Linked DNA regions of Drosophila melanogaster. The protein of the gene in region 4 purifies or fractionates together with the protein of the main gene of each other region. This does not show direct contact. Each region holds a gene or a part of one and is shown on either strand. Other genes may lie near its edges.

Evidence for each region.
Region 1: the proteins of omd (region 4) and IntS6 purify together in Drosophila melanogaster (affinity purification with western blotting; one study listed by BioGRID). This does not show direct contact.
Region 2: the proteins of omd (region 4) and IntS1 purify together in Drosophila melanogaster (affinity purification with western blotting; 2 studies listed by BioGRID, with this or other methods). This does not show direct contact.
Region 3: the proteins of omd (region 4) and IntS12 purify together in Drosophila melanogaster (affinity purification with western blotting; one study listed by BioGRID). This does not show direct contact.

Annotation. Positions count from the first base shown.
Region 1 is NC_004354.4:5,744,003-5,749,455, reverse strand, and holds the start of IntS6 (integrator 6), read left to right. Parts: upstream 1-2,201; 5' UTR 2,202-2,684; intron 2,685-3,080; exon of another isoform or gene 3,081-3,253; intron 3,254-4,756; exon of another isoform or gene 4,757-5,100; intron 5,101-5,453. Other genes in the region: Rtel1 (regulator of telomere elongation helicase 1), read right to left, coding at 1-462, 538-1,587. UniProt on the Drosophila melanogaster protein: Component of the integrator complex, a multiprotein complex that terminates RNA polymerase II (Pol II) transcription in the promoter-proximal region of genes.
Region 2 is NT_033778.4:24,035,781-24,044,258, forward strand, and holds the start of IntS1 (integrator 1), read left to right. Parts: upstream 1-2,162; 5' UTR 2,163-2,281; coding exon 2,282-3,599; intron 3,600-3,660; coding exon 3,661-4,640; intron 4,641-4,694; coding exon 4,695-8,478. Other genes in the region: MAN1, read left to right, coding at 1-870; Not11 (CCR4-NOT transcription complex subunit 11), read right to left, coding at 1,003-1,360, 1,421-1,560, 1,615-1,860. UniProt on the Drosophila melanogaster protein: Component of the integrator complex, a multiprotein complex that terminates RNA polymerase II (Pol II) transcription in the promoter-proximal region of genes.
Region 3 is NT_033777.3:26,861,824-26,865,059, forward strand, and holds IntS12 (integrator 12), read left to right. Parts: upstream 1-1,552; 5' UTR 1,553-1,646; coding exon 1,647-2,633; 3' UTR 2,634-2,736; downstream 2,737-3,236. Other genes in the region: Lerp (lysosomal enzyme receptor protein), read right to left, coding at 1-110, 168-384, 657-743, 814-870; ball (ballchen), read right to left, coding at 2,846-3,236. UniProt on the Drosophila melanogaster protein: Component of the integrator complex, a multiprotein complex that terminates RNA polymerase II (Pol II) transcription in the promoter-proximal region of genes.
Region 4 is NT_033777.3:13,683,953-13,688,982, forward strand, and holds the start of omd (oocyte maintenance defects), read right to left. Parts: upstream 3,259-5,030; 5' UTR 3,220-3,258; intron 573-3,219; exon of another isoform or gene 473-572; intron 199-472; exon of another isoform or gene 1-198. Other genes in the region: flfl (falafel), read left to right, coding at 3,912-4,023, 4,094-4,281, 4,395-5,030. UniProt on the Drosophila melanogaster protein: Component of the integrator complex, a multiprotein complex that terminates RNA polymerase II (Pol II) transcription in the promoter-proximal region of genes.

The DNA.
Region 1 (5,453 bases), on a different chromosome or scaffold from region 4:
CGGATTCTCCAGATGCTGGGCCACCGGAATGGCAAGCTCGGCGATTAGCGGCTTGAGGGGAGCTAGTGTGCCGCTGGTCAGGATTACGCTGCGCACTTGGGTGTTGAGCAGTTGCTCCATTCCGAAGCCAGGATTGAAGCACCAGAAGTTAATGATTTTTGCGACCTTGCTTAAGCCAGTCGCTGCTGCAATCGTTCCCTTGCCAAGCCAACCGCCCTGCTGTTTAGCACCCTGCTGCTTACCGTGTCCCTGCTTGGACTCCTCCACCAGGACATGCACTTTGAAGCTTGCGTACACCTTGCTCATCACATCCTCCTTGTTGGCAAACACAATGGTCAGTAGATCGCTAAGCAACGTGAAGGTGCCGCCCTTGCGGATGCTCATCTGCTGGGAGGCCACTAGGAGGTATTGCACCAGTTTGTCCAGCAGGGATACTATCGTTGCAACGTTGCCGTAGGTGAACTACAATAAAGGAAGTTACATTTTTAAATAGGCATTCTTTTAAAAACATTTCCGATAAGATTTAGTGCATCTTACATTCGCCTTGCCAAGCAGTTCGTACATCATGGAGGCGGGAAAGGTAGTTCCATCGACGGCGTTGTCCACAACGATGGCATCGATGGCCTTTTCGAGCTCGAGCAGCATCTCCTTGAGCAGTGTAAGGTCGTCCAGTGTGAAGTCCTTTGGCTCATCTCCAGCCATATCCTGCGACTCGCCGCTCGCAAAGACTTGCATGATATGCGTGACGTCCTCGATGGCCATGGCCACATCAGAGGACTTAATCTGCACCGAAGCGGACTCCTCGCAGATCTTCTCGATGTTGTGGGCCTCATCCAGGATCACAATAGTGTTGCCCAGTTCGATTTTGTTGGCCTTGCGAGCCTTGGGATCGAGTAGATAATTGTAGGGCATGAAGGTGATATCCGCCTGGGGAACCAACTCCCGAGACGCGAAGTAGGGACAGATCTTGAGTCGCTGGCCCACCTTGACCAGGTCCTCAATGTCCATGATGGTGGGTCCGCGCAAATCGGGATGATCCTTTCGCGACTCAACGCGCATTTGAAATGAACAGGTCTTGGAGTGCACCCGTAGCTTGCACATGTTGGTCTTGTTGGAGTTGCCCTGCTCCCGCATGACCTCCGGATGAATGCATAGCTGATCGCGGGAGCCCAGAACCACGGATCTCATGTTAGCGTACGCTGTCCTCTTGAGTTCCCGCATCGCCTGCGTCAATTGGGAGTGGGTGCGCGAGGCGTAGATGACCTTGGGCACGCCCCAGTTATTCGCACGACCCATGGTCTTGGCCAGCTCGGACAGGTCTCCCCCAGGTGCTCCGCCTCCAAGACCCGAAAAATCTGCCTTCTCCATCTTAACCATCTGCTTTTGGTGCTCCGATTGCCTGGTGCGGATCCAGGCCAAGGATGAGCACAGCAAGCTTAGGGTCTTGCCCGTGCCGGTTGGCGATTCCAGGACTCCATTCGTGCCATCGCGGAGACAATGGATCACCTTCTCCATGTACGCCCGTTGAACCGGGTACGGCTCGAACGGAAAGTGCACCGGAATGCCGGCGATCAGGCTCTCCGGCATTATTCTTAATAATACTATTTATTTACTTGTTTACGCGCCAAATCGGAGTGAACATGTGTTCGTTGGTCGATAACAATAAATGTCTGTGTAGGTGGTCAGTTATCGCTATCGATAGAGTACAGTGGACCCTGATTAAGTAATTTTATAGCGTTATCTTGAACTCCGAGTCAAATGTTTACAACTTGCATGTCAAACCCTGCGTAGTTTATTTTAAACGTAATAGTAGTACTAATCACCACCCAAAGTGCTGCAATCGTGTTTATGGTACCTTATGGATAATAGTAACTGAAACTTATAAACTTATTAGCATTGGAGGGAATACTGTAGTTGTGATTCTGTTTATTTGGATCAAAGATTAACGATATAACATTTTAAGTGAATGTTATGGATTATACCAAACTAATGAACTAATGGCATTCAAGATTAAATGTGCAGCATACATATAAATCCCCTAACAAGGTAAGTAAATATTTGACATCAATTATTACAAACTCAGTTAATTCAACCACAAATCCATTTATCGTGACCCCTTCGCTCGGCTTTTCCGAATCGCCGCGATACGGCCCCACTGATTTGGCGCTTCTCGGCCACACCAAAAAAACACAGAACGGCATCAAATCATTCGAACTTTGAGAACGGTAGTGTTGTGTTGTTATTGCTCGGCAGCAAAGTAAAATCCGAAGAGAAGCGAGTCGAACAAGAGAAGAAGAAGCGCAGGAGTGGACGACAGCAATGCAACAACAGTGACGAGGCGCCAGTGTGCAAAAGTATGTGTGCGAGTGCGTGTAAGCAACAACTCCCCGATACAAACCTACGAGCGAGAGGGGGACGGCGATAGCGACGGTCGTTCGGTCGGTCGGTCCGACCGCTAGTCGCGTCTGTCGGTCGTTCTCGCCTATGCACCTCGGCGGCAGAGCGAAAGAGAGCGCACTCTGGCTGTGTGTGTGCGTGTGTGTTCTCGCTCTCTCGCGCGGTGGTGATAAATTTCTGTTGGCACAAAGTAAAAATATAACAGAATAAAAAATCGTGGCGCGGCATATAGAAGCTAATCGAAAATTATTGCGAGTATTGGGTGGAGGAGAAACATTCCTCTTCTTGTGAGTGCGTTTTTGTTTTAGTTATTCTTTTTTTTTTTTTTTTTGGCCGGAAACTCTCACTCGAAGATGCTGCCGGTGTAGTTGTGTATGAATGTTGTACCATTTTTTTTTTTTTTGAGATAGAAAATTTAGATCTAAAATATTAACCATGCGATCCTTAGAATCGCACTTTTAAAATATGTCCACACATTTTCAAATTCGAAAGCTTTGGCGGGCTGTCGATGGGCGGGCGCTTGCAACTCTGGCGATAACGATTACCGTGCCGATAACGCGGCTGCACTAATCAGCATTATCACATGCAAATTAAGGTCATCCAAATGAAAAATGACCACCAATCAAAGGCCCTGCACCCCTTTGCCGCCCCCCATTTATGCGAAACAACTAGAAAAAGTGTGTTTATTTCTTCACCGTTTTTCGAGCTCTGACAACCCTGCCGCTGCTGCATAAGTGAATTCCGACAAAGAGCCGTGTCATTTTGTTGGCCAAAACATCGCTGCGCCGAGATTAATTAGACGGAAAAAACTCGATTACTTGAAGTGCTCGGCCCTATATCGTTTTGGTTTAAACGTGTGTGTGAGCTTTGTGGATTGCCATCAAACACAATAGGCCGACTCGTCCCCCGCAGCCACCCGTACCATTCCAACACGTCGGAGCAGGGTTGCCAGATCAACGATAAATCACACACCGCTCGTTTAATACGAATTTTGTGTTGTTTTTACTTAAGACAAAATTTGTGAAACTTAATAGATATATTTTAATTTCCGCTCAACGTTATACCTGTCCGAAGTGGGGGTATCTGGCAACTACACCGAGCCGCGTGTGTGCGAATGTGTGTGTGCATGTCCATGTGCGCGAGTGTGCGTATGTGTTTGCGCTCTTATTCAAATAGAAATTGAATGTTTTGCACTCGAATTCAAGACAATTACGGCTCCTCCGGTAAAAACACATTTAGACTGGCTGACCTAATTTAAGGTGTAAGGATGTGGGTTACGCCTGCGATCGCCGAGTGATCGTTATCGTTATCCCGGCTTTGGTTAATCGCATTCCTCCTTCTCCTCCCCCTGGCATCGGCATCCACCACATCCCAACCCCCTTTCTCATTTTTCTCCTCCATCGCCCCTTCTTCGGCAGGCCATCTCCCTCGCTCTCCATCAGAGATGCGTAGGTCGTGCTCCCTCGCACACACACTCACGATCGTGAGCTTGGTCATTGTGTAATCGATTTACGGTTACCTTTTACCTCAACTCGAGATGGTGGGAGCAGTAATCTACTTTGTTAATAGGGGCAGCGAATATCACGCAATATAACAAAGTGTAAGGATATCGAAACTAAACACTAATTTGTGTAATGGTACACTTCAGATAGAAAATAGAGAACCATTTAAAGATCAATCTCTTTGGCACCTGCGTTATAATGACTACTTGTTACCTAGTTTAAAACTTCTACATATGAATCTAACTCATTTATTATTTTGAATATACGACAAGTACGACAATTATAAATATTATTGCTTAGTACTAGACTTCGTATTGTTTTTGGCAAAGCCAAAGCTATTCACACGCGTGTCGCCCACCTGGCTCACGTTGCCATCTCTAGGCGACGCCAGCAGAGCGTTGTAGTGGTGGCAGTGGCGTCGAGTGAATGACTCCGTAGTGGGGCATCAATAGAAAGAGAAGAAGGAACGAGTTAGATGGAGCGAGGAGGAGATGCAGAGGAGGCATAATGGCCAGTGAGTGAAGCGGAGTGGATTTGGATTTGTGTCAAAGCGATTTTCCCCAACATAAATATTTAGCTCTCTAGGACCAACGGCCGACCCCCTGGGAATTAAATTCCATTTTGTTGTTTAATTAGCACTTGCGTTATGCGACAGAGTGTGCGGTGTGTAGATAGTTTGTGAGTGATATCGTTGATTACGCAGTTGTTTCATTATCTGTATGGATTTATATTGCCGCTTCTTAATCGATTGGCCACAGTGCGTATGCGCAACCTATTGATATTTTACAACCAGTTGCGTACCTGTTTCATTATCATTTCGTTCTGTTCTGTTCTGTTTCGTTCGTTACCATTCGCAGTTCGCTGTTGTTGTTGTTTCTCCAGTCCAAATGTCAGCTGTTGCACGCAACATGTACCATAGAAGCGGAACAGCGAAACGCAGAAAAAGAGCAAATCGATCAAGCCCAGGACAAGAACAACAAGTGCAAGAGAATCGGCAGCAAAAACAACAAGCAGATAAAGAGAGCTGCTAACAACGTAAACAAAACCTAAACACCTATACACACGCAAAGGGAGATAGCAACAAATACAAAAACAACAACCACAAATAGCAAGAATATAGCAGAAAGCGAGAGAGAAGGAGAGGGAGAAAGTGCACCTGAGAGGGGAAATAAAAGATCAACGATAAAAGATAAGAGATAAAGTAAGTAAAGCTTGACTTTTTGGTTTGTTGGTCAATCGAAATTGAACCTGTACCGATAACGTTTACCAAATTTCATAACACCAAAACATTGATTTAATTGTCAAAACCAAAACGTTAAACGTTGTGAGTTTTCCAAGTAGACGAGTACTTTGAGCTCACACTTTTTGCAGAGTTTTTTTTTTTTTTTTCAAAAAGCGTACCACCAAATTGTTTGGCTCGAAACTCAAATTATTATACATTTGTGCATAACTCTGTAAGATTTCACATTGTTTTGACTTAGAATTAAATTACGTCATGGTTTAATTTCATTTTGTGTGAAGATTTGTGATATAGAAGAGCCAAGAAACCATAAC
Region 2 (8,478 bases), on a different chromosome or scaffold from region 4:
AGCATCCAAGTGGTGGATTCAACGAAGCACCTTGGACAGACCTCGCACTTCGAGCTTTCTGAACCCAATCTGCCGCTCAAGTGCATTGTGTTGAAGAAAGTTACCAGGTTTTTCACCGTTATCGGTGCACTTCTCTTAATAGTCGCTGGATTTCTCATCGTGTACGTCGCGGTAGTAATATACCGAGTTAAGCAGAAGGAAGCCCTGTTGGCGGTCGATCAGTTCCAAAAGGACATAATAAACGAGCTAATTTACTTGAGCTCCCAGTCCGAGAGTCCCGAGGTAGTTATTAACCAGCTGCAGGAGAAGTTTCTGCCGGCCAAGAAGCGCTCAAAGCTCTTGTCTTCTTGGAACAAGGCCCTCAAGCAGCTGGAGAAAAACGATAGCCGTGTGCTGTTCGGAATGGTGAATCGTGACGGGAAGGCAATGCGCACAATTGCGTGGAACAGGAACGTTGACAAAAAGGATGTGGGGCTTGTTAAGAAGTGGCAGAGTCCCGCCTTCGATAACTCGAACAAGATTGCCAACCCGCCGACTCCCTGCCTGAAGATTAGGCACATGTTCGACTCCTCAGAGGTGGATCAGGCCAATCTGAAGCAGTCCATCGTGGAGTCGATCATCGAGAAGGTCGGCACGCGCTGCAAGATCTGCGATGTCCAGCTGGACGTGCAGTCCTGCTGCGTGTACATCCGCTGCGCCAGCGAGGAGGACGCCGGCACGATTCACAAAGAGATCAACGGCTGGTGGTTCGACAAGCGCCTGATTTCGATTAAATTCTTAAGACTGGAACGCTACCTGAGCCGTTTCCCCAAGCCCTCGGCCGAGCCACTTTACTTTCACACCAACGAGGCAGCCAACACTCACTCATAAAACACACAACTCTACATTAGATACTTAAGTTATTAAATGCGAATTTGTTTTACATGTACAGCTGGAGTTGTCGTATTTAATCGATTTATTATGAACTAGACTTTAAAACTTAAAATCTGCTAAACACTACCACTACTTAGCTAGGGAGTTGGACGACAGAGCGCTTTCCCCAGTTTCCAAGTGTTTGATAAGCCGGTACAGGGTAGCAGCCTCCTTGATTTTGCTGAAACCCACGCAGAAGGCTTCGATTTCAATGAATAGTTCCTGGAAAATAACAATAGAATAGTCACTAAGCACAGTCGAGGAAATGGTAGTAGCGCATACCCTAACGTTCACAATCTTGTTCCTAATCAAGGACTGCAGAAATACGCAAACGAGTCGCACCAGGCGAGACTGCATGTACTTGTCCTTGACTGTTTCGCAAGTCGAGATGCAATTGCTGATGTATAGGTGAATAAACTCAGTGGGCAAAGGTCCGGAGGTGGTTAGTCTGGAATGAGAGCTCGAGCATGTTAAAGAAGCCTTCAATACTCGATGTTTGGATTCCTACCGGTTGACCACCTCCATGGAGTGAAGTGTTATGTCCATGTTGACCAACACGTTGAAGTATTCAGTTATGTCGGAGGTCGTCATCAGTCTTAGCAAGATCTCAATGGAGATGAGAGGATTGCTTTCCACGAGCAGAGGTAGCTGAGATGGAAGCAATGGATAAGACATATATCTAGCAATGTTTTCGGTTCTTACCTTGTCCGGGGTCAGTCCATATTGGCGCGCAATGTCCGTGTTCTGCTTCAGCAGGTCGTCGAAGAGGATGTGCTGGTTCTGGAGGCTGAGTGGCTGGAGAAAAGCCTGCTCGATGAGGTGCTTTATGTTGGGGGTAATGTAGTTGGACTTGTCGTAGATGATCTCCACCTTGTCGCTGTTCGACTGGTTTATCCAGAGCAGCTCGTCCTCGAAGTCCATTAGGGGCGGGGCGATGGACAGAAACATGCTGGTGCGCTGATTTTAATTTACAATTATTATTATTTTCCTTGCAATTTTGTAAACAATTTTAGTGTGACCGCGTTGAGGGGTTCTTAAGAACAATCTGCACATGAGAGTGGGCCATCTGAAAAATGATGTATGCAAATGTGCGCCTAAGGGTGTTAGGTTACACACTTGTCAAAAAATAAAAATTAAAATATGAAAACAGTTCAATATTTATATTAAAGCCTGTTTCAAAGCTTCCATCGTTCCGAATCAGAGCAGTTGCACAGACTTCTGCATGCGTTAGCCATTGAGCCCTAGCGCCTGCACTCTGGTCACACTGCAACTGTTGCACGGCTGCAAATCGCAAAGCAAAATAAAATGCACCGCGCTTGAATTATCCATTTTATGGACAGAAAAAACCTTCACACACGAACAGAGAAAAATGGATCGCGGGAAAGGAAGCGGCTCCAACCGATCGCAGAAGAAGGTTCCGCTGGGCGGAGAACTCTTTGCGCTCGGCAAGAGCGTACGCGATGACTCCAAGTCGAAGATCCTGCCCATTAAGGGCATGTCGTCGTCGGACCGCAAGCGTGAAGCCTCCACCGCACTGGCCAGCTCGAGCAAGCGGTTCCGCGGCAACCTGAAGGACGCGGGCGCCCCGGACATGTCCTCCGGTAGTAGTCAGTGCGAGACGTGGGAGCAATTCGCCGTTGACTGCGATCTGGATACCGTGGTCGAGACCATATACGCGGCTTTGGAGCAGAACGACAGCGAAACTGTGGGCCGGCTTGTATGCGGCGTTATAAAGCAGACAACGACGAGCTCCTCGCGCTCCAAGGTGGACAACATTGCCCTTCTGGCCCTGATCTACGTGGCCAAGGTACAGCCGAGTATATTCTGCACAGACATAGTGGCCTGCGCGCTGCTTTCCTTCCTGCGGCGGGAGGCCAACGTGAAAATGAGGTACAACACCAACCTGCACATTCTGTTCGCCAATCTGCTGACCCGGGGCTTCATGGAGATTTCCCAGTGGCCGGAGGTGCTGCTCCGCATTTACATAGACGATGCGGTTAACGAGCGCTACTGGGCGGACAATGAACTGTGTGCCCCGCTCGTGAAGAACATATGCGCAGCCTTTAAAACCCGCACGCCCCACATCAGTCTCCTCCGCTGGGATGTGAGCTCGTCCCTGCCTTCTGGTCAAGCACACAGAGACAGCATGACTGTGGACGACGATTCCGGGGACAATTCCACACAGAGCTTGGATGCAAGTCCCTTAAATACCGAATCGGAACCAATTCCCGACGCTATGTGCACCACTAAATCAAGATTCAGCGATGCTGTGGTGCAGAAGCATGTCAGCGATGCCATTCGCGATCAGCTCAACAAGCGACAGCAGCAGGATAACTACACCAGAAACTTCCTAAAGTTCCTGTGCACCACTTCTGGCATTGCAGAGGTACGATGTCTGAGCATTTCCCGCCTGGAGCTGTGGATCCACAACGGAAAACTGGTCAAGTTCGCCCAGCAATTGCTCTCGTACATCTGCTTCAACATCAAGGGACGCAACACACAGGACAACGAAGTGCTCTTGGTGCTGGTGAAGATGCGGCTCAAGACGAAGCCCCTAATAAACCACTACATGTCCTGCTTGAAGGAGATGATTTTTCTGCAGCCGGAAATCTTGAGTACCGTAATGAAACTGGTCGTGCAAAATGAGCTATCCAACACCAGGAATCCAAACAATATGGGGATGCTGGGTAAGAGAAACAAATTTTTTCTTAAATTAAAATCATAATTCTTAATTTGAAACTTTTCCAGCCACAATGTTTCAAACATCTGCTGATCAATCAGCTGCCACTCTGGCTGAGATTTACCAGGAATTCTTGCTTCAGCGGGACGATTGCCTGCGCACCCTGCGCGTTTTCTTACGGGAGCTTGTGCGGATGCTGCGCTTCGATGTGAACCTGGTCAAGTTTTGCAAGACGTTTCTCAGTGAGCGGGAGGATCTGACTCCTCAAATCGAAATGTTCGAGTTTAAGGAGCGAATTTTCAACTCCATGGTGGACATTGTGTGTCTCTGCATGTTTCTGTCGGCCACGCCACAAGCTAGGGAAGCCAGTTTGTCCCTGAAAACCAATCGGGACACCAAAAACAACCATGCTCTGCTCAAGCTGTACAATCAGATGTCACAGATTCAGTTGGACACAGTGTCCTGGATGTACGAAACAGTACCCACGCTCTTCAAGATTCCGGCTGCGGAGTACCACCAGGCGCTGCACAAGCTGCTACTGCTGGACAGTCCGGAGCAGTATTCGCGCTGCGATCAGTGGCCGTCAGAGCCGGAGCGAGGAGCAATCCTGCGGATTATCTCTGAGACGCCGATTCACGAGGAGACCCTGCTGCGAATTATATTGATTGGCATCACCAAGGATATTCCTTTCTCTATCGCAAACACCTTTGATGTCCTGCTGCTGGTCATAAAGCGAGTTTCCGGGATGAAGGCTACCAATATTCCGGCGGTGCAGGCCAACAAATTCGACATCATCGACTTCCTGTTCAGCATGTCAGAGTACCATCATCCGGAGAACATTCGCTTGCCTGCGGAGTACGAGCCACCAAAGCTGGCCATCATCGCCTTCTACTGGAAGGCGTGGCTCATATTGCTTATGATATCCGCACACAACCCCTCCTCGTTTGGAGCCTTCTGCTGGGACCACTATCCCACAATGAAGATGATGATGGAGATTTGTATAACGAATCAATTCAACAATTCATCAGCCACCAAGGATGAGTTGCAGGTGCGTGCTTAATTATATAAACAAACTGGCGGTGCTACAATAAAGATTTTTCAGATAATAACCATGGAACGGGATCACATTCTGCAGTTCGAGACGTACTTGGCTGCCCAAACATCGCCGCATGCTGTTATCACTGAGGAAACTGCGATTCTAATCACTCAGCTCATGCTGATGGACCCGATGGGCACTCCGCGCAAAGTGCCCTCCATGGTCCTAGATCAGCTAAAGTTCCTTAATCAGACCTACAAGCTTGGCCACTTATTCTGCCGCTGCCGCAAGCCGGACTTGCTGCTGGACATAATTCAAAGGCAGGGCACCACGCAATCCATGCCCTGGCTTTCCGACTTGGTTCAGAACAGCGAGGGCGATTTCAGCCATCTCCCAGTGCAATGCCTGTGCGAGTTTCTGCTGTTCAACGCGCACATCATCAACGAGGAGAATAGCCGCGATGCCGAGTTAGTCAATTTCCTGAGAAACCTGATATTTGACGGCAATCTTAGCCACCAAATCGTTTGCGAGCTTTTGGACTACATATTTAGACGCTTGTCGTCCACGGTGAAGCAATCGCGAGTCGCCGCTCTTTCGGGTCTGAAGATAATCTTCAGGCACTCTGGCGACTTTGAAAACGAATGGCTCCTGAAGTCGCTCCAGCAAATTCCGCACTTCTACGAGGTGAAACCCTTCATAATTCCCCAGCTGCGAGCTGCCTGCCAGGTGGAGAATTGCCCGGAACTGATTATGGCGTACATTCAGTTCATCACTGCGCACACGCTCAACGATCCGGTCAACGAAATGCTGGATCATGTCATCGATATGGCGCAGCTGATTGTAGAGCGCAGCACAATGTTTCAGCACATTATCATTTCGCAGGAGGACTACGACTATGTGCCCGACGAGAACCGCATTCAGACTCTGAAGTGTCTTTTCGTCATGTTCAACAACTATATAATTAAGCTAAGGGAATACCACGAACCGTACGAGTGGACCGAGTATCCGGACCTGCTGATGGTTCAGTTTGACGATGGAGTACAGCTACCGCTCCACATAAACATCATTCACGCCTTCATTATCCTGCTCACCTATTCCAACAGCAACATGCCCGAATCGATACCCATTTTGGACTATTGGTTTCCGCCCGGACGACCAGCGCCCGTCGCCTTTCTGCCCAGCATGCCGCAGGAGCAGGTGCAACTGCTGCCCGACTGGCTGAAGCTGAAGATGATCCGCTCATCGGTGGACAGACTAATTGAGGCAGCTCTCAACGATCTAACGCCGGATCAGATCGTGCTCTTTGTGCAAAACTTTGGCACGCCGGTCAACTCGATGTCCAAGCTGCTGGCAATGCTGGACACCGCTGTACTGGAGCAGTTTGATCTGGTGAAGAATGCCATTCTGAACAAGGCCTATCTGGCCCAGCTAATCGAGATTCAGCAGGCGCGGGGTGCTAAGAATGGGCACTACACCGTACAGGCCTTGGATCTGCATTCCCACTCGCAGACTGTGCCAGATCTGCCCAAGATCAGTGTGGTTATTCAGGAGGCCGTTGAAATTGATGATTACGATTCTTCAGACTCGGATGATAGACCCACTAACTTCCTGGCCACCAAGGAGGTAGCCCAAACCATTCTCACGCAGCCCGACCAGTTGACTGAGTCGCGAAGTGACTGCCGATCCTTGATTCAAAAACTGTTGGACATGCTAGCAAGCCCGAACAGCAATAGAGCGGATGTGGTTAACGCCATAACAGAGGTGCTAGCCGTGGGTTGCAGTGTCACGATGAGCCGTCACGCCTGCACATTTTTAAGGACTTTCTTCAGCTGCATGCTGCACAGCGACAAGTATCACATACTGGAGAACGCTCTCCAAAAGAACTTAAGTATGTTTAAGCACACATTCGCCGACTCCAGTCTGCTGCAGAAATCCGAACTCTATCATGAGAGCTTGGTGTTCATGCTGAGAAACTCTCGCGAGATTTATGCGCAGCAGTTTAAGGCGAATACCGCCTTGGTGGCACGAAAACGGATCGTCCGGGCGATCGTCCAAAGCTTCGATCAGACCAAGGACAGCAAGACCGTCGCCAAGTCCAAGAGCGACCAGCTCTTCCACAACGGGCTCTTCATCGACTGGCTGTCCGAAATGGATCCCGAGATAGTTTCCACTCAGCTAATGAAGGAGCGCTTTCTGTTCTCAAAGTCCTGCAGCGAGTTTAGGTTCTATCTGTTGTCCCTGATCAACCACCAAACCAACTGGGACACGATCGAAAGGATTGCCGAGTACCTGTTCAAGAATTTCCATGAAGACTACGACTACGCCACCGTCCTCAACTACTTCGAGGCACTGACCACCAATCCGAAGCTGTGGAAGGGACGCGACAAGTACATGTCGAAGAACGTACGGCCGGATGCCTTCTTCATGCTGAGGACTTCTGAACTGGAGCCGTTCTCCCACTTCATCCTTCACGAAGGGCTTTCCGAGGTCAAGCTGGACAGCAAAAACTATGATTTCAAGCTCTGCTCGCGAATGAACCTACTGTTTAAGCTCACAGAGAAGCGACGAGACCTCATGGTCAAGGTAATGGAGCACGTGGAGAAAAGTTCGGTGTCCGACTACTTGAAACTGCAGGTCCTCCAGCAGATGTACATCATGTATCCGCGCATCAAGTTTCTGAAACCGGGCAAAACCGGCGAGCAGGCGTACAAATTGCAGAATCTGAAGGGCTGCCAGGCGGACAAGGTGTCCAACAATCTGATCACCTGCTTGGGCAGTCTGGTGGGCAAAAAGGACTTTGAAACCCTGTCCACGGACACCGAGCTGCTCCTTCGCAAGCTGGCTGCCTCCCACCCGCTTCTCTTCCTTCGCCAGCTGGGCGTGCTGTCGTCCATTATGCAAGGTCGGGCCCAGCTCAGCATGAAGGCCCTGCGCGAGGAGCACCACTTCCACCGATTTGTACAGATCCTGAGGACGCTGGAGCTGCTGCAACCAACCATCTTTGAGGAGGCGTACAAGAACGAGATCCAAAACACGCTGTCGTGCTACTTCAACTTCTTCAAGCACCACAGCAACGTAAAAGAGGCCTGCCAAATGCTGAACAAGTTTGTGCAGATGCTCCAAGCCTACATCAACTACAATCCCTCAAGTGCTCTGCTCTTCATCGAACAGTACGTGGGCATCCTGAAGGAACTTGCAGCCAAGTACACCTCACTAGGCAAACTGCAGGTTTTGGTCCAGGCCGTTGCCCTGCTGCAGCACAAGTCGCACTCGGCGACGGAATTGGACGACGAGGAAGTTAAGTACGAGTACGATCTGGATGAGCATTTCGATGTAAAGCCATCGGCCAGCAAGCCCGTGGTAACAGAGGATCCCATCGAAGTGAATCCGCAAACACCCATCGATCCAAGCAGCAGTAGGGGTCCCTTATCGGTTCTAACCTTGGGCTCGTACAGCCGGTCGAACTACACGGACATATCGCCGCACTTCCTCGATCTGGTCAAGATCATAAAGCAGTCCAACACGGAGGACGTGGTCTTGGGTCCCATGCAGGAGCTGGAGTGCCTCACTTCCAAGAGATTTGTGTTCATCAACGAGCTGTTCGAACGACTGCTCAACCTTATATTCTCGCCGAGTGCCCAGATCCGGTCCATCGCCTTCATCATACTGATCAGGCATCTGAAGCACAATCCCGGCAATTCGGACATCAACCTGTGCACCCTTAACGCCTACATTCAGTGCCTGCGGGACGAGAACTCCTCGGTGGCAGCGACGGCCATTGACAATCTGCCGGAGATGTCGGTGCTGCTGCAGGAACACGCAATCGACATCCTAACGGTGGCCTTCTCGC
Region 3 (3,236 bases), about 13 Mb from region 4:
TACATGCAGCTGGTAGTTGGGCTTGTCGGCAGTGCCATTGTCGCATTTTGCGCCGCTTTTGTACTTCAGAAACATATTTCCATTGTTGTAGAACAACTCGTGCTGACGACCTGAACAGTAAAGGTATCTTAGCGTGTGAGATACAGATAATGTGATCGTTAACTTACCCAAAATATACTCCTTTCCCTGTCTTTTGAGACAAGCTGCCACATTACTTTCCCCATTGCAGGTTCTTGAAAGATTTCCGCATATATTGAACTCGAATTGGTCGCCTCCAATGTTCATGCTCTTCACCACATGGGCCAAATCCGAGTGGAGACCACTGAAGTCGAAGGTGCTGCCGTAAATGGGCTCCTTGAGTTTACATTCCGTGGTGGAAAATTTCTAAAGAAAAAGTAAACATATTACAGTTACATATTTTCCTATTTCAAAGAAAACAAGACATTTTTTATGACTATTATCGCTTCATTATTCAGCCTATTGATTTCTTAGCCATTCGAAATGTCGGCCAACAAAGACTGGAAGTGATAAGCGAGCGAAAAACATGCAATTGGGGGGCCTTAAACGGGGTCTCGACCAAAAGGCAACAAGTGCGCAGTGAAAACAAACAAACACCCCCAAAATAAACGACCCACGCCCACTAACCGCCCACTTACCAGCTGATTGGCTGCGTCAGCGGCGACACTCTCACCGCTGCAGAAAAGCAGCAAAAGCAGGGAAATCACAATTGGGAAACGCATCTGCTGGAATGTCAGTAAATGCAATGAATAGTTTTTAGTTCAGTTTAAATGTATTCAGCATGTATCATCTTACCTGACGAAAATTTTCCTGCGTGGGAGCTGCGCAGTCCTTTTGCAAACTGCAACGCATTTTGTCACCTGCAGGCTCTGAAATATTGGCACTAAATGAGTCAAAGCGCTGGAAAGCGTTTGCAGTTTGTTTCTTTTACTGTTTTATTGGTAATTCCACCTAAGATTAGCGCTCTTTTTTCGCACACAAAGTAATTTAATTTCCCTTATCACAAGCTAACTGTTTGTTTTGCGAGAGAGCCAAGTTGTTATTGCTTTTCCAATTGGCTCTCTGCTTCGATTTTTCAACGGCCGTTCGCAGCAATTCTTCTTCTTTGCGCAGCAGAACAAATAAGGAAATGCCGGCGACGCAGTTGCACGATAGGCATAACAACGAACACAAATAGTGGCGAAATAACTATTTTTAGCTTGAATATACCTTTTTCGGATGCGGCTAAATTACCTGGCCAAAAAACAACACCCGCTCTTACCAATGTTACTTTACGTTTACAAGCGAGTGGCAGCGCTCAGAAGAAGTCGAGCTGCGTAGCAGTGTGGTAGCACTGGTCAAACAGCTGTTGGGCTTTTGAATATACATTATGTTTGAGAATCCAATACAACCAACGTGTGTAGTGTTACTTACATACTAACATTGTTGTTAACAAGGCTATATTCAGATTACATGAAATGATCCATAACTTTATTTTCATCGTATTATGGCTAATAACTTAAAATTTAATTTTCCCGCCTAAAACCTATGCACGTTGCCAAGTGAATGGCTGAAACCAAACAAACAGCTGTTGCGCGGGCATAAACTTGCATTTATATTGTTATTTACTATATCTACCCGGTATTAAGATGGCCGCAAATATAGCCGCCGCTGCTGCAGCTGCCCAAGAAGTGGATCCCGTGCTGAAGAAGGCCATCAAGTTGCTGCACTCGAGTAATCCCACCTCGGCGGCCGAACTGCGTCTGCTTTTGGACGAGGCTTTGAAGGCGCGTTTTGGTCCGGAGAAAAGTTTGACCAACAACATGACGCCACGGATGCTGGAGGATGAAGCGAACTTTTCCGGACGTGCTGCCACGCCCCCGCAGCAGCCCATCAATGCGGACGAGATCATCAATTTGACCAACTCACCGGACAAGGAGCCCTCCGATTCGGTGGACACGATTGCGGATTCGGATGACGGTCTAAGCGCCGTGGGAATAGTTAACACCGGTGACACCGGCGACTTTGGCGACCTCAATTGCTGCGTGTGCGGCGAGATGGTTTTCACGGCCACCAATCGGCTGATTGAGTGCTCCAAGTGCGGTGCCATGTACCATCAGGAGTGCCACAAGCCGCCCATAACCAAGGAGGAGGCGGCCGATGACCAGGAGCAGAACTGGCAGTGCGACACGTGCTGCAACAAGCCAACGAGCAGCGGGAGGACAACATCCTCTGCAGCGGCCGTAACGCCAACTGTCTTCATAGCCGACGAACCCATGCCGTTGACCAGCAAAGCCAAATCGTCGGTCGCGTCGTCGCGCTCATCGAACTCTTCCAACTCCTCGTCACCCTTCTACCGGCCCGAGCCCAGCAGTTCCACGAATGCCAGCAGCAGTAGCAGCAGCAAGCATGGCCACAAGTCCTCCTCTTCGTCGTCGTCCAAATCGCACAAGGAAGAACGATCCTCTAAGTCCACGGCGGCGTCTTCTCTTAGCGCCATCGGCGGAATGGAGAAGCACAACAGCAGTGGCACCTCATCGCGACGCAGCGGCTCCAGCACCAAATCCAGCTCCAAGAGCAGTTCCTCCAAGCATCACGAAAGCGGCAGCAGCAGCAAGCGCAGATCCAAGCAGTAATTTAGCATCTCTAATAATTAAGTATAAAGTTACAATCCGCATAAAATTCTGAACGTTCATTCATAATAATAATTCAATAATTCATTTTCAATAAATGATTTTTAAAGATATGTACGTGCTATCGAATTCAGTAAATGTAGGTAAAAGTAAGAAAATATTTCAAGTTTTTATTAATGAGGTTACAAATGTAAAAATACAGAAAACAAAGGCTCCTATCCCTGGTATTTCCGCACAGTGACGGCTGGTGTCCGCGGACTACGGCCGGGCGTGGAGGAGTCGCCATGGCCGTTTACCTTGCGCAGGTTAACTCGGGTCACAGGTGAGGCCTCCTCCTTCGAACTGGACGCCAACGCGCTGCGGGATGAGGGTGTACGTGAATCAACCGCCGTCGCCTTATCCTGGTCCGCTTTCTTTTTGCGTTTGACATTCACAATTACGTTGGCATCCATGCTAACGTCGAGCTCGAAGTTAAACTCATAGGTCTTCTTGGAACGCGGCTGTGGAGTGAGGTCATCGTTGATCACGGTTTTGCCACCGGGACGTCCACGCAGCGAAATAGACGGGCTGAAATTGATCTTGGCATTGGGAGTACGGAGCCGCGCT
Region 4 (5,030 bases):
CAGACCAACGCTCTAGCGTCGGTCCGCGGAAAATAGCGAAAATTACAATTATCCGGGAAGATATATTGGTCGAAAACTAACTCGTGATCCCCCAATAAATATGCGCAAGAGAAAATTGTATATAAACTGATCGAATGCAGCCAGCGTGCTAAGCACTAAAAGCGAAAAACGCCAGAAACAGAAACAAGGAATTGCAGCGTGAGTGTATAACTTTTTGGTTTTTGCCCCCGCGCTCTTTCTCTCTCTTTGCTGCTCTCTCTCTCCCGCTCTCTTTTGCCCTCTTGCGGCTTCTGTGTTGTCTGCGTGCTAGTGTGTGTGTGTTTGAATTTTACTGTGAATGTGACCGACGGTGTGTTCTCACGTACTCCGTGGATGATTTGCGGCCTTGCCAGGGAATCGGACTATATATCCCGGCAATAGCCCATATTGGATCCCGATTTTGAATACAACTCGGCTGATTTGCTTCTTTCAGTGTCTCCCCTTTTATCGCACTTTATGCAACAACGCATACCGTCGTGTTGAATTTCCTCGCTCTCCGCTGTGTGTGGTTTGTAGGTGTGCGTGTGTTCGAGGTGAGTTAGCCGTCGTCTGTTTTTCTTTTCCCTGCGTTTTGTGTGCGTTTCAATGAAATGCAAAATCGCCAGCGAATATCGCGGAAATGCGCTGCTCCTAAATATTATGTATACATAAATAAAGTATCGAATCAAAACAAAATCGGCTTGCAACAACAACAAAAACATTGCAGAGTGTGGGTGGCGCGTGTAGCGATCAAAATTGCGTGCATGTGTAATGTGTGTGGTGGAGAGACGGCATTTTTCTTTACCACACGCCTCTTCTTCTTTCCCACAATACACTGCAATTTTTGCGATTCTGTTTTGCGCCTGCCATTCGCAATAATTTTATTGAATGAACCGCAAAAGAGACGGCCCAAAAAGCGATGTACTTGCCAGACGTTGTGTCTGTGTGCGTCCAAGTGTCTGTAGCGCGTTGTGTGTGTATCGCGTATGAAAATACATCAACTGTTGGGCATCAACAAAAAAACGGAATCAAAAATTTATAATAAAAAATGAAAGGAAATTAGCTGACTTTGTAATCGCAATCGGAGAGTGTTTACTTGCTAAATTTTCGAGTTCTCCGCCCGTCTCTTTCCCTTCATCCCTCCTGCCTTCACCGCCAATACCACCCCAAAAAATTGCATACATGCACACACGCCTTCGGTTGTGCGAGTGGTTTAGTGTGTGAGCGCGCGCGTATTCTGCACACATTGTCATGCATGCAAAAAACAAGATACGACGCGTTCGCAATCGTTAGATTCCGTCTCCCCCAATTCATGGCGTTTCATTGCTGGGGGCGAAAGTAAGAAGATAACGAAAGGGATATGCGAACCACTTCCTAATGAAGTCCTGCATCCTTAGCTTTTGGATTCCCACCTCTTCGCCTTCTCCTTCTTCACACGGACACTTGCAGCGTTCGCGCCCATGCGTGTGTATGTGTGCGAAGAACAGGAAGAGAGCAGCGAGACTCCAATTATCCATTTACAGTTGCGGTTGAAATGATGGAGCATAGTTGTATTATTTGTATTCACACAATTACCGGTGGTATTTAAAGTCTTAACAATATTTATTAATTTCCTGCTACCTTCCTAAATTTTATTCATAGTTTTAATACTGTACCCAAGTACCTTAAGTTCCCTAATCAGATGTAAACTTGTTGATAGGCATAATTCCTATCTTAGTTTGTATTTTTGTCTACTATAACCTAAACTTAATTCTACTACGAATTTAATTACAACATACTAAGACTGTAATCTACAAACCAAACGAAAATGCCTTGAATAAAAGAGGTCTAGTGATTCATAATACGATTTGCACACGTGTTATTAACTAGGTAGTAGCGAAATAGAGTCAAAAAGGCCACCGACTTGTTCACAACTGTATCTCTTACTAACTTCCCTATAAAAACTAATTGTTGCTGGGGCGAAAAAATACTGCCAAGTTGTCATATTTGCCGGACTTTATTGATGACTCGACTCCAGAGCTCTATATTTCGCACACAGATTTTCTCTCGGCACTTTTCGCAACCTTCTGCGGCCGCTGGTTATTAATAAAAATTAATAATAAACGAAATCTGTGGCGCTGTGCGGCACTTGGACACACTTATGTACACATGAGCATTCTCGTGTTTTTCGCAGCTGATTGCGTAAACGAAACCGCTCGCTACGTTTGTTTTGAATTGCTACTTTTGTTTTGGTACCGATTCAGACTTGGAATCCGATTCAGTTACAGATTGAGATTGAGATTGAGATACTCAGGCTCTCCGCCTGGGCTTCAATTCTCCTGCGGGCGTTATCAGTGGCCTATGGCGCTTTATTGGAATTACCATGGAAGTGGGAACTTAATCGCTGTGCAAATCGCTTCGAAACAGCGCAGCACGCATTTTCCCCGACGTCTTGCAACCTTGGGCGAGTGGCACTGCGGGCGGTGGGTGGTGAGCGGTTGGGTGATCTAGAGTGACGTAAATATTTGTGGTGGACAGTCAACATTGAGGTGGCGCTCTTCAACGATGACGTAGCTTTTGCCACTTCTGTTTACTCGCACATTATTTCACACACTTCTCCATTGATTTTCGCCGTGCAGATAACGAAATAGTGGACTGATTGTTAACTGTGTATAAATGAAAATATGGGTATGATATGTGTTTATTTACACTTTTTTTCTGTGTACGAGAATGGTTAGATTACTCCCCTTCCTCGTTTTGAGTCACCCGCTCTCTGGCCCTCGCCGCTGTTTGTTTTCTTCGCGCGCGTGTTTGCTCTCGCCGTGGGGCGAAAGCGCAGCGATAATAGTGGCTCAGATATAGTGTATACTATATGTATAGTAAACCTACTCATACCGAAAACCCCATCGCACAGATACGGATACATTTACAGATACACGCGCGCACTGCGGAAGGCCTAGATCTAATGGAAAACGCTAAATGTTTGTAAACAGACCGGGCACATTTCTTTTCTTTTCTTAATTATTTTTTGCATTTCGCATTTTAGTTGGCATGGTCTTCTCACGGCTTCTCTCTCTTCACACATCTTTCTTCCGAAAATACACTCACACACACGCACACCGAACGTAGCTTTCACATTTTCATTCATCGCAATCTTCGCCATGAAGTGTTGCAAAGGCCCCAAGATAAGATATAGGATGCACTTGGATACCTTAACCTCACCTTTTTGCGACAATAGCACACGAATAATCCAATTTTTTGTATGACGTTGTTGGGCGAACAATTTTATAAGTCTTGGAAAGGAATTTCTGTGCTGTGTTGATACACAAAACAACAAAATAATAAAAAATTATAAATGGTATTGAACTACTGTACTAGTGAATAGTTTGAACCAGACTTTAAATTAAAGGCAATTATGATGTTGAAAATATTTAAGTACCTTTATGCATGCATATAGTTAAAATACAATTTTTTAGATAACAAACAACATATGCGTTTACTGTCATTAAAAAAGGGATTATAAAACCATAAAAAAAGGATTTCGAAAAAGTAGTGTTTTTTAATATTGTATGATCTTTGAACGTTTTTTTTTTTAATTGTTTTATTTTCCTAACTTGCAGTGCAGTCTCGTCGTGCGCCCATCCCAATCCCATCAGACCCCACCCGGCGTTGGAGTGCAAGAATAACATGGATATAGAAGTCAAGCATAAAGATTAGCCGAATCCTTTGAATTTTAAATTCAAGATCCTAATTTAAATTAGCTAAGTAGCATAGCCTAGCCAATAGTCCCTAGCCAGAGGAACGGTTCCAAGCCGCAAGCACTCGCGTTCATAGTCCCGATCGAAATTCAAACGAATCCCAAGGGCACCAACAGCGTGTAGAACCGCAGAAGCACAGCAAGGAGGAACATCATCATGACGACTGACACCCGCCGACGCGTCAAGCTGTACGCGCTGAATGCGGAACGGCAATGGGATGATCGTGGCACTGGCCACGTGTCATCCACCTATGTGGAAAGACTAAAAGGTGGGTTTACGAAATTAATGAAGCCTTGCGAAGTGATTTAAGTTTCCTATTGCTCACTAACAACTTACAGGCATCTCGCTTTTGGTGCGAGCCGAATCCGATGGATCTCTACTTTTGGAGAGCAAGATACAACCGGACACCGCATACCAGAAGCAACAGGATACGCTGATCGTGTGGTCCGAGGGGGATAACTTTGATCTGGCCCTGAGTTTCCAGGAAAAGGCGGGCTGCGACGAAATATGGGAAAAGATATGTCAGGTAAGCGTCGTTGAATAAGCATATGCAGTTATAAATGTGCTTATCTATATATCAATGAACTTAAACAATTTCTATATGGTTTTCACATCAATTGCCAACTAAAACTTTTGCAGGTGCAAGGCAAGGATCCATCTGTAGAAATAACTCAAGACATCGTCGAAGAGTCTGAGGATGAGCGGTTTGAGGACATGTCGGATACTGCGCCACCCATTGAGCTACCACCCTGCGAGCTTTCCCGGCTGGAGGACATCTCGGAAACGATACAAAGCTGTCTCTCCACGCCGCTGCGAAAGGAAAAGTTGTCGATGGCTCTGGAGTCGGAGAGCTATATCAAGAAGCTGCTGAACTTGTTCCACGTGTGTGAGGACCTGGACAATACCGAGGGCCTGCATCACCTTTTTGAGATCTTCAAGAACATCTTCTTGCTAAATAAGAACGCGCTCTTTGAGATTATGTTTGCGGATGATACCATCTTTGATGTGGTCGGGTGCCTGGAGTACGATCCGAGTGTGTCTCAGCCCAAAAAGCATCGACAGTATCTGAAGCAGTTAGCCAAGTTCCGCGAGGCAGTGCCGATTAAAAACCTGGACCTGCTGGCTAAGATTCACCAGACGTTCCGGGTGCAGTACATCCAGGACATTATCCTGCCCACACCATCGGTCTTTGTCGAAGACAACATGCTGAACACCCTGTCCAGCTTCATCTTCTTCAACAAGGTGGAGATTGTCACGATGATCCAGGACGACGAG